2 linked regions of the Solanum lycopersicum genome follow. The protein of the gene in region 2 interacts with the protein of the main gene of each other region in a pairwise test. Links are inferred from orthologs where the notes say so. Each region holds a gene or a part of one and is shown on either strand. Other genes may lie near its edges.

What was found.
Region 1: the proteins of SAC3 family protein A (region 2) and enhanced ethylene response protein 5 interact in binary tests that used the Arabidopsis thaliana proteins (3 or more experiments, as listed by UniProt). The link is inferred for Solanum lycopersicum from reciprocal best matches to the Arabidopsis thaliana genes SAC3A and EER5.

Annotation. Positions count from the first base shown.
Region 1 is NC_090806.1:47,705,755-47,711,556, forward strand, and holds the start of enhanced ethylene response protein 5, read right to left. Parts: upstream 3,747-5,802; 5' UTR 3,560-3,746; coding exon 3,386-3,559; intron 3,082-3,385; coding exon 2,945-3,081; intron 2,861-2,944; coding exon 2,767-2,860; intron 2,691-2,766; coding exon 2,326-2,690; intron 2,102-2,325; coding exon 2,014-2,101; intron 1-2,013. UniProt on the Arabidopsis thaliana protein: Involved in the regulation of ethylene response. Probable TREX-2 component required for nuclear RNA export.
Region 2 is NC_090804.1:67,957,595-67,962,868, forward strand, and holds part of SAC3 family protein A, read right to left. Parts: intron 4,238-5,274; coding exon 3,389-4,237; intron 2,614-3,388; coding exon 2,173-2,613; intron 175-2,172; coding exon 73-174; intron 1-72. UniProt on the Arabidopsis thaliana protein: Component of the TREX-2 complex (transcription and export complex 2), a muliprotein complex that functions in docking export-competent ribonucleoprotein particles (mRNPs) to the nuclear entrance of the nuclear pore complex (nuclear basket).

The sequences.
Region 1 (5,802 bases), on a different chromosome or scaffold from region 2:
AAATCATCAAACAAGAAAACTGTTTCCTCTTCATCTTTTTTGAATAGGAAACTTAGATTTATAGTTTGAATACATTGATCTTCTACATTGGACAAACTTCTCAGAATTTACCCTCTTCAGATGAATCCTTTGCTTTAAAACACAGTCCTAAAAGAAATCCAAAAATGGAAGAAAGAAAGAAGGAAAGAGTTTGAGGGCACAATGAACTTCGAATATGGGACCAAATATCCTTTTAATTTTTCAAAAATAAGTTGAATAGCGCAAAGAGGACCCAGGTGCTTCTCATAGAGCAGTGTTGAGGTCTTTCTAAACTAGAAATACAGCTGATGCAAGTTAATAGTAGAATGCCAACAATTTCTTTAACTTTCCAGGGATGAGCTCCAAGAAAGAGAATATGGCATGCGACACGATTATTTCATGTCAGAAAACCAGGAACAAACGAAGCAAGAGAAAATACTACTGAAGGTAGACAAGTATGTCAATACAGAATAGACAAAAAAGGAAAAAAATAAAGAAATGAAAAAGGGGGAAAAGCAATTAACATCATCAAGACAATTGAAAGAAAAAAGACGGAAAAATAATTTGCATTCAAAGGTGTGACTTAGCATTCAATGAAGTGGGTGAAAACCTTGGCAATCAAGGTTCAAACTAAGCAGAGACAAGATAACACTGGGTTTTTCTCTTTATCTTCTGCCTAAGCCTTGGCAGAGGTACCCGGTACTTGTTTTGGTGGGAGGTAGCTAGTACCCAGTGGAATAATCGACGTGTGAGCAAGCCGCAGAACACCGTCATTATTTTTTTAAGGACGGACAGAAAAGGAAAAAAAAAACAATGTTTCTCAGGCCAAATAGTTTGTATGCGACGCTGTGGACACTTACTTCCTAGAAACCTCCGTCTAGGTGTACCAATCACTACCAATTTTGTTGATGCATTGGAGGCTGAACTTTAGTTAAAAGGAGAACTTTAGTTTAAAGGAGAACTTTACTTAAAGATGAAAGTGAAATTGATTCCGACTCTTGAAATTTGTGACAGTAGAAGATACAATATATAGAATATTGTCAAATGTCATAAAATCATTTTAAAGAGAATTTCAACACAAGGTTAAATCAGGGAAGCATCACTATTAGATTCCATTGGAAATGGAATCAAAATCTTGGTAGACTTATTTCCAAAGAAAGAAATTTCAAATGTATGTCACAAACTTGTATAATTGTATACCAATATATCTTGTCAATGGATCTTGAACAGCACTCAATGCATATCTCAGGCCAGTTTACTTTATAGTAATTTTGTTTTATGACGATGGCGGTCAGGCCAACTTGCGAGCCAGTTCATTTTATAGTAACGTGACTAGATAGGTCTCGACTGCTAACTAAAAGCCTACAAAATCCTAGTAGTCAACTTAATCCAAGGTGTAAAACAGTAGCAGCTTTTCAGTGTTAAAGTAAACGACACCTCTTACTTATCCATACACAAGGTGCATGTTTAAGCACTAAAGGATATTAAAACAATAAACTGAATAGGAATATTTTGAGGATCTCAGAGCATAGGGAAATTAAGGAAGAAAGATAACAGAAATGAGGAGATGATGGAGAAATGAAGATCAATAATCCCTTTGGACCCTTAGAAATGGAATATGCAACTCTAGTAAGCTACATCAGTAACTTTAACAGATTTTTTTGTCAGTAAAACTCAGAAACTTGAATGAATTAACTTCAAACGTTAAAAGAGTCTGAAAGCTAAACGAAGAAAACAGATTTAATGTCTAGCACTTATAGTTAATAAACAGAAAACCCTTTCATGAAATCCTTGGGAAGTATGACAATTCAATATTTCTTGGCTCCATTTCAACAGCATAATAATCTCCGTGATGTTCAACCGAAAACAGAAATCAGCAGCCATACCTTCTTTAGACTAGCTATTGCCAAGTAAATGCATGCATTAGACTATTCTAAAAAAATGTCAACATTTCAAGCTGAATAAATTAAATATGAACCAGAAGACATGCAACACCTCAGTCAAATTGTACTTCTCCAAAAGCGAAGTTTTAGGTAAGATGCCTATTGAGAGCTTCACAGGTATCAGATATTTTAGTATCATCCTGAAAAGAAAAGCCTAAAATCGATGAGATGAAATCAATGCACTCAGTAATAGTGTCTGGTTTCCTGTTTGAAAAAGAAAACCGACACCTTAAATGTAAAAATCCAACATTTATTGCAGAAATTAGTATCATTGCCGGATATTCATCCAATAATCTCCATACCATTATATCTTTTCATGTGTGGAACAAAGTAATCCCGAAACATAAAAGGAATCTATACAGACCTTATATTTCTTTCTTTTCGAGGATTGCAATGGCTTAGAGCATATGATAGCTTATGATCAGCAGCAGAGAAATTTTCATTGTACACCTCCAACCGTCCAGTATAATACATGTAAGTAACCTTATCCCTAAGAGGAAACTCCTCGAAATCGAAAATGCGGGCAGTTTCAATGCTTCTTGTAACACTTTTACACAAGTGAACTGTTCCGAGCTTGAAATAAATTTTGAAAAGCTGGCAAGTCACGTACAAAGCTCCAACACGTTTTGATCCTTTTCCAGCAAGGACTCCAAACACTTTCATGAGAAATGAGCCAGCCCCTTTCAACTTCTCAGGAGTTTTTCCATTAGAAGCCAACTCTCTATCTGCCTACACATTCAAAAACATATATTAGTCAACTCAATAAATCTTCTACTAATCCAAATATAACAAGAATAGCTCTTACCCTTTCTGCTAGAATTCTAGTTTCATAGGCAATCACATAAAGGGCTTCCAAAGCCCAAGCAGATTCCCAGTTGCGAAACTCTTGAGTAAATGCACTGCAATGTCCACAAAATCAATATTTCCCCAGAAAATTCGGGAAAAGGGATATAGGATAAAGGAGAGAATAAGTTTAAACTTACTTGGCAGCTTTTTCAAAAGCCTGGTAAGATTCAACCAAGTTTTTGAGACGATAACTATGTAAAGCACGAAATAGAGGGAGTAGTATATCTGCATACTGAGAGTACCTATCAGTTTGTCTCATTACTCTGCTAGCATCCTGTTTTAGAGACATGAATTTCAATTAAGGAGTCTTTTCAATCTACAAAAACATCCATTCATATATCACACTACATCCATCTATCCCACTATGTTACTGTCCCATCAGCAAAAAAGAGGTATAAGAAACCCAAATGCGAAATTTAGCCCAGTAGAAATATGAGTAGCAAAGCAATTACTGCAGTTTCATCCAGAAAAAGGAATCATCAATCCGATTCAAGCCCTAAGTTGTAAAAGAAAACTAGAAGGTTTAATTCATACAAGTGTCTACAACAATCAAAATGGACAATTGAACGCGCAGTTACCTGGAAAGTGATGAGGGCATCGGATAGAGAAAGGAGAAAAGAAGAATTTGAAGAGATAGAGAAAATAAGGCATAGAGACTTGGCATCTTGAGATGAAACAGCATCGGAGAAGCGATTGAGGAAGTCAGTAATTCGTCTGTGAGCTTCTCCCATGCTTAAATAGGCTGAAGCCATTCTTTCTTCTTCAATTCAATTGAAGCTTTTCGCTTTGAGCAGAAACCCAGAGGGGTTTATGTCTTTCTTCTCCACTCACGACAATGATAAACCCTCTTTCTATTCTCCAAATTAAATGAAAGAGGTCAAATAAATTTTGATTTTTGTTTTCGGTGACAGAATCATCAAGATCTATTTAGATTTTCTTAAAAAGGTAATAAAGTAAATTTGATTAATATTTAAAAAAAAAATTCAAATTTCTTTTTATTTTTTTAACTTCTATAATTTAATTCAAATCATTTTAAAAAAATAAAATAAAAAATTCATTTTCGGCAACAATAGACATATTTGTGTCAACATATGATTCATCCGTGGCAACATAAGATTTATATGTGGCAGCATAATGTTATTATTAGTTTATAATGAATTGTAAACTCTCAATCTTTTTTTATTTAACTTGTTGATGAAATGATATTTTAAGATTCATCCATGACAACAACTCAATCTTTTTATTGGTCTTGCTTCCTCTTCTAACATCAAATGCTCTTTTTGTCTATGCAAAGAATGTGAGCAACAATATAATTATTTCATTAGTTGTGTTAAAAAAACTCACTGATATTTCTAAGAAAATGTCTCATAATATTGATGTTCAAAGATCCTAGAAAATTTCACAGCCTTTGAAGTGTAGGAAGTTGAAAAAAATTATTTTTCAAACACTTTCTATAATTAGTGAGAAGAAAGAGAAGGAGAAGAAGGCAAAGGAAGAGAATTTTTCAAACACTTTCTATAATTAGTGAGAAGAAAGATAAGGAGAAGAAGGCAAAGGAAGAGAAGGAGAAGGAGAAGCAAAAGGAGAAGGATAAGAAGAAGGAGAAGGAGAAATAGAAGGACAAAAAGAAGTAAAAAGAGGAGAAGAAACAGATTGAAAAAGCGAAAGTAAAAAAGAAAGAGAAAAAAGTCAATGTCGTCAGTTATGATGTGAAGCGACAATATCCATTTAAAGATTTTGACATTGATGGCGGGGTCCAGATGAATTAATGTCATCCTTCTCACAATGAATAAATGAGAGTTTTTACAAGTATCATGTAAAAAAAATAAGGTCGTTCAACTATTATTAGTATTCTTCTTGTTGTCCACTAAATAATTATTTATAATGATTACACAATTGTAAAAGAGACAAGGACGATCACTACTTAGACAATTATTCAAAACTTGATTTTAATCAACTTGATTTTGTAGTTGCATTTTCAAAGAATAAGAACTGATTCTACAAAATGTCTCAACACAATAAGTGTTGGACTGATGAGGTAAATTCATTTCCACTTTTATGTTTTGATTAATACATGAATATATACTAATAAATTGATAAAAAAGATACACTTGTTTGATGCATCGTGCAGTATGTGGATGTCATTTTTTACTATTTGCATAAGAAGTCGAACTAACAGAGTCATTTTTAATATCGATATACCACTACTAATTGTTTTTTCAAAACATAATTGACAATGCTAGTGTTGTTCCTGAATATGAGGATAAAATCATTGGCACTATGAAAGGGTTTGATATAGCTTGTGGACTGTCTTGGCTCTTGACAAATGATGTTTATGTCCCTGTAAATAGTAACGGGGACTTCCATTAGATCTTGACAGTCGTTGCATTGAAGGAACGATGAATAAAAGCATATGATTTGATGTCTTCATCTAGGTCTAACAGAAAATTGTTACCGAGATTCAAAGGTTGCCTATAATATTGCCAAAGTACCTTGAGTTAAGCGAATTTTTTGAGCAAAAAGAGTGAACTGACTTGTCAATTCTTGAATGTTACCAAGGAACAAATCTCACTCATTTGAAGTCAGACATGTTATTGGTATTGCCCAACAAGAAAGCAATATTCTGTAAGTATCACATTATTTTTTTGTCTTGCGACTTCCAAAATGTGATGTTATTTTATTTTCTACTGCAAAATTATGGCAGCGTGGACGTGACGTTGTATCATCACTTAGGCTCATAGTCATTGTTGTATCCCACAGAAACTATATTACTTTCATATATAAGTAAAGTTGAGTTTATTATTATCTCAATGAACTTAGAGTTTACAATATATATATATATATATATATATATTGAGTTCTCATCTTATGTGTTGAGCAGAGCCAAAGTAAGTTCATCCTTACTCTATTTGAAGATGCATAGTTGTGTTAGCACTCGAACTCAAAAACTCGTACATTCAATGTACTGGTTCTAGTTGGCCTGCATCTTTTCATG
Region 2 (5,274 bases):
ATCTATGCAGCTCATTACATGGCAAGAACTGGAAAACGACCGAGAGAAAATCTCAAAAATACACTAAGATACCTCCTTCATGACAGCTTGGGATGCCACCATTTGAGTATCATCCTTGCAACGAGCCAAAGCCCTTTCAACATAACCACAAAGTGATTTAGGAAAAGTATCAGGCTGCAGACAACAGAAAGATCACTTTAATTAAGCACGGAATAAATAATCTGACATTAATTTGATGCAATGCAAGAATAAATACCATGTTATGACATGTCACCATTATCCCAATTCCCAACTATTAGTTACCACTAGAATAAAATACCAAGGTTTCTCAGATTGTGTGGCGACAAAAGTACAGAACACAACCAAGGAGCAGTATTTCATCAATAAAACCTAACAGTTGAACTGTCAATCATAACAAGATAGAAGATTGCAGCGTCAAAGTATCATATTAAAAAAAGCTGCTCCTTACTCCTTAATAGTTCAGCAAAATCAGAAGTCCTACCAATATCGAAATTTCCTGTACAAGTGATTAAACCAAGTTGACACAAACCTACCAGTTTAGCCATTAATAACTATATCATTGTTTCAACATCAACTTGAAAAAGAGAATCCCAAACTGAAAAACCCGTTAAGAGTATTTCAAGAGAAATAATTGCAGACTCACACAGCTTTAACTTTTTCCCAAGTGAAATTCATGTTCAAACACAATAGACTTCCAGATAACCTTTTCCAACTTCCATCTCAGATTCTTTTTTTTTTAACTTGAACCAAATATCGTCACCAACATTAGTAATTAATAGATTTAACTTTAGCAAGCAAGCATGTTGCTTTTCACTTCAGAAGTTGTAACGATGTCGACCGTGAAAAGGTAAGTTGGCTATTTCTATTCTCACAGCTACACCTAAAAGATAATGCAATAAAAGTTCAAAAAAACTCTGTCCGGCTTTTACCATAATAGAATATACATTTACACAGAACTCGCAGACGTCTCAGTAGATTTGTTCACTAGACACATTTAAATGACCAAGAAAATGATTATAAAATAACCCATCTTCGCCAAGCTTGGAATGCAATTGTTTTATCCAAAACGAACATGTGAGCTTATCCACATGCGACTCATTGGAACAACTCTGAAGGTTTTCCTGATAGACCAATGGTGGTGAGTGCCTTTAAAAGCCCTAACTACATCGTATTAAAGAAATACACAACCTACCACCCAAGCTACTGATTCACTGGTTATCAAAATATCCTCTGCATAACTATTCCGCCAATATCACCCATAATATAAACCTTCCTTACTAAAAGCACATAAATCAGCGAAAATATGGAACTCCAGAATATTAAATTAGGTTAGTCTTGCTAGTATTGATAAAATGATACCACACCAAATACACTTGACAAGTCACTTCCCAAATGCACTTCTACATATTAGACTAATGGAGTTATTTAGAGGGCTATATTAGTACTAGATCATTCTTGTCAAGCGCATAGGATCATTTGCTTTAATAGGATTTAATTAGCATCATATCATTATTTTTGAAGAAAAACTTTGGCAAGTTATATGAGAAAGGTCCTAAGAGGTGCTACTCAACCAAGGGTGTAAAGAAGTCTAATCAATGCATATATGGAAGTTTAGAGAATGGCTGGCCCCTCCAATTGGTAATTTGGTTTAAGATGAAGTGAGTTGTTTTGTTAATGGCACCAAGTAGATGCAAATAAAGTACAAAAGATAGTAAGCATGAAGTAACACTTTTCTCAAAAAAAAAAGATAGTAAGCACACAAAAGAGTTTGTTAGCTCCATTCGAATATGTACTCCTCTCGAATTCGTTAATGCATTGGGGTTTTCGAATTTTCCCCTACAAATTATCCATAGTGACTACTCATAACAAGCATCACTTGACCAATTCAAAGAGAATCTTATAACAACATACCCGGTGCAATCCCCTAAGAGGTGGCTGGTCTAAGAGAAGCTTACAACAAACATAAAGGAACACTAGCACAGATATCTTCTAATTGACTATCAAGATGAAAGACTATCAAGAAGCAAGTGAAAAATCTATCATCTTAGTCAAGCATTTGAACTTTGTCCGTCAACTATGCAAAGTTATGTTACAAAACACAATTTATGATTGCATGTTTTACTGAAATGATCAAAGTTAAAGGTGTTTAACCTTGAGAGCATTCTCTGCAGCATTAGATGATACTTTTTCATTAGTTTTTGGTAAGGAAACGCTGACATATGCAGGTTTGGCCGCTGCATTAGTTGTAGAGCTTTGGATATCCAGCTTTGGTAAACCCATGGTCAATGTTGAAGTTATTCTAGGGTTTGTGGGAATCTGTAGTTTGCTAGCACTACCTGTATCGCCTGGTGTAACAGTTTGCTGCATAGTGGGCAAGGATGACTGATAATTATAGGGCATCTGATAAGAGGCTTGATATTGTGTGCTTGGTCCTTGGGGACATGAAGAACTTTGTTGAAGGTTTTCATGAGAAGGGGTTATGTCTAAAGGCTTTTGACCATAAGACTGTACTGGATCAGGCTGCTGATTTTGGAAAGAGGGAGCCCAATGTTTCCAGTAACTATCATGAACGTTTCCACCTACAGCAGGAGACTGACCCAAAAAAAATTAAAAGTTAAGTTCATTAGGCAAATCAAAAAGAACTCCACACATAACATGAAGGGAAAGAGAAATGAAGTTGCTTTTCTCAGTGTACTGAGTATTGAAAAGCAAAAAAAAATGAGGCACTGACTGCAATGACAGTAGATAACATCTCTTCTTCTGTGAGTAGCTGGCACTCAACAACTCGCACAAGATAGAAGTTGAATATCCAGACTATCAAACGTATAATAAACACGAATGATATTTAGACAGCAGAGTTAAAAGAGCATACAAGGCATTGCTTACCAGATCTTTAGCAGCTTGTTGAACAACAGAACAACTAAAATAGCAAATTAACCTAACATGTGAGTGTGATACATGATTTATCACCATCTTTTCCGTCTCTCTGATTGCTTAACATGGTTTTGAATTTTAAGAGGATGTTTGGATGGACTTATTCTAAGTAGTTTTAGGCTTTTAAGCTCTTCTTTATTTTTGGAGGTGTTCGGGAAAGAAGAAGTGCTTTTAACCACTTTCTTTTAGGCTGAAAAAGCACAAAAACAAGCTAAAAGCCAAAAGGCTATTCCAAACTTATGGCTTCTAGCTTATAAGCTACTTTAAAAAGTCTATCCGAACACCCCCTAAGTGAATTACATGACAACTGATATTCAAATAGGAGTCTCGACGCATGCATAAAAGTTATGTCTCTACGCATGCATAAAATTATCTATTATAAGTAAAACTCCAACAGAGTAACTCATTTGTGAATTGCATGTAAAGGAAAAACCTGCACCGCAGACAATGCGGGCAAACCAGATTCTGGCTTGCCAGGTGGAGCATGAGATGCCGGAGCCTGGACACCTGAAGCTGGGTAACCCGCCGGAACAGGGCAACTCAGACTGGATACATTAGAAACGGAAATATTTTCTGTTCCAGGAGCACAGGGGACATCATTTTGTGTATGGTTGTAATAATCGGCCCATTGCTTGTACTGTTGTTGATACTGTGAAGCAGCAGGAGCTGTGGTAGAACTGTATGCGGCATTTGAATCAGAATTGTAGCTTGGATACTGATGGGAAGTGTATGTTGCATATTGTCCTTCATGCCATGCGTTCGTCTGGTTATTGTAAGCACCACTTGTGTAACCTCCAGATGTCTGGTAATCACCAGGATTGTAGTAAGTGCTTGAATAACTTGCAGGCCCAGCATAAGACCCTGTATTCTGTAATGAGGAAAGGGGCTGATAAGGAGCACCTGTATTTTGATATGCTCCTGATGGCTGAGGATAGGATTGATTAGGTTGTTGTTGATAGCCATTATAGTAAGCAGCATATCCTGTATTGTTGTATCCATAAGGATCAGTACTTTGATAGGTTCCATAGCTACTGTAATCCTGCTGTACATTTGTGGCACCGGAACTTGGTGTAGTAGCACTAGCTGCAACATTCAATCCATCTTGAACATTCCTTGAAGGCGGTGCAGCTTGTTGGTCATGATCATAACCAGAATGTGAGACAACTCCATTTTCCCTGGCATAGCTATCTGCAGCATGAGCGCTCCATGGTGCAACTGTAGAATTTGGAGGGGCGTAATATGAAGACATGTGATGTTGGTTTGGATCGACAGCCTGATGATTCTATATAGGGAAAAAAAAGGATTTAAAGTCATATAATGGGAAATCAACTCACCTATCCAGAACAATTTATAGCAAGAGCAGTACATGATAAAGTTGCAGAAGAATAGTAAATATAAGCAAGTTAAAAGAGTTGGTGGCTGAAAGAGGAGAAGCATTTAACGCTTTCACCATTCGAGTAAAGGAAACATTTAATCAATCAACATGTACAACGACCAAAAATTATACATGTAGTGAATGTCTATCCATAGAAGGCAAGAGCACACAGTTTCGGCTCATAAGAACCAGTTTCTCAACATAAGGATAGTCGGTAGTCAATGCATCAAACATGACCTTCACAAAATCTATCTACATTGTTGCCCAAGTATCTCCACGATAAACATAAACATGACACATACCAATGTAAGTAAAGCCTTTCATACTTGTATTGATGGATAAAAGCAGACAAGGCATCTTGATTTACTACTTACAAACATCACTAGCACAAGACAGTCAATTGTGTCTCTCCAGCATCAGAGTGACTTGTCATAGCTACTTCATCAAGAACTCTGACTTTTGTGTATCTCATTACTAACCATTAACAAGTTGTACATACATTTAAATAAGGCAGTTTTACTAAGTGAAAAGTCAAACGACTTTTTCTTTAAATTTAAAATTTTCAAACAATTATTTATTTATTTTTTCGATGAGAGTGGTGTCCGGACCAGCTTTCGAGCACCTCGACTAATTCCACAAGATATTTGTCATCTCCCACCCACAACAAGTTAGATAACTCTGTCCACCAAGGCTAGGACAGATGGGAAGAGTCACTTAGCGATTGTTTGGTCTGCACTGAGTTCTGAACCCGAGAACCTCAAGGTTCTCAACCACTTTATTGACCACTAGGCCACATCCTTGATGCTATTTTTTCAAACACTTTCAAGTACTTCATAACATAAAATCTTGTGATTTCTACTGCTTCTTACAGTTTCTAGATATACAAATGTTAAATAAAATACTCTGAATCGATGTCCAAATTCATACGGACTATTAGATGACCA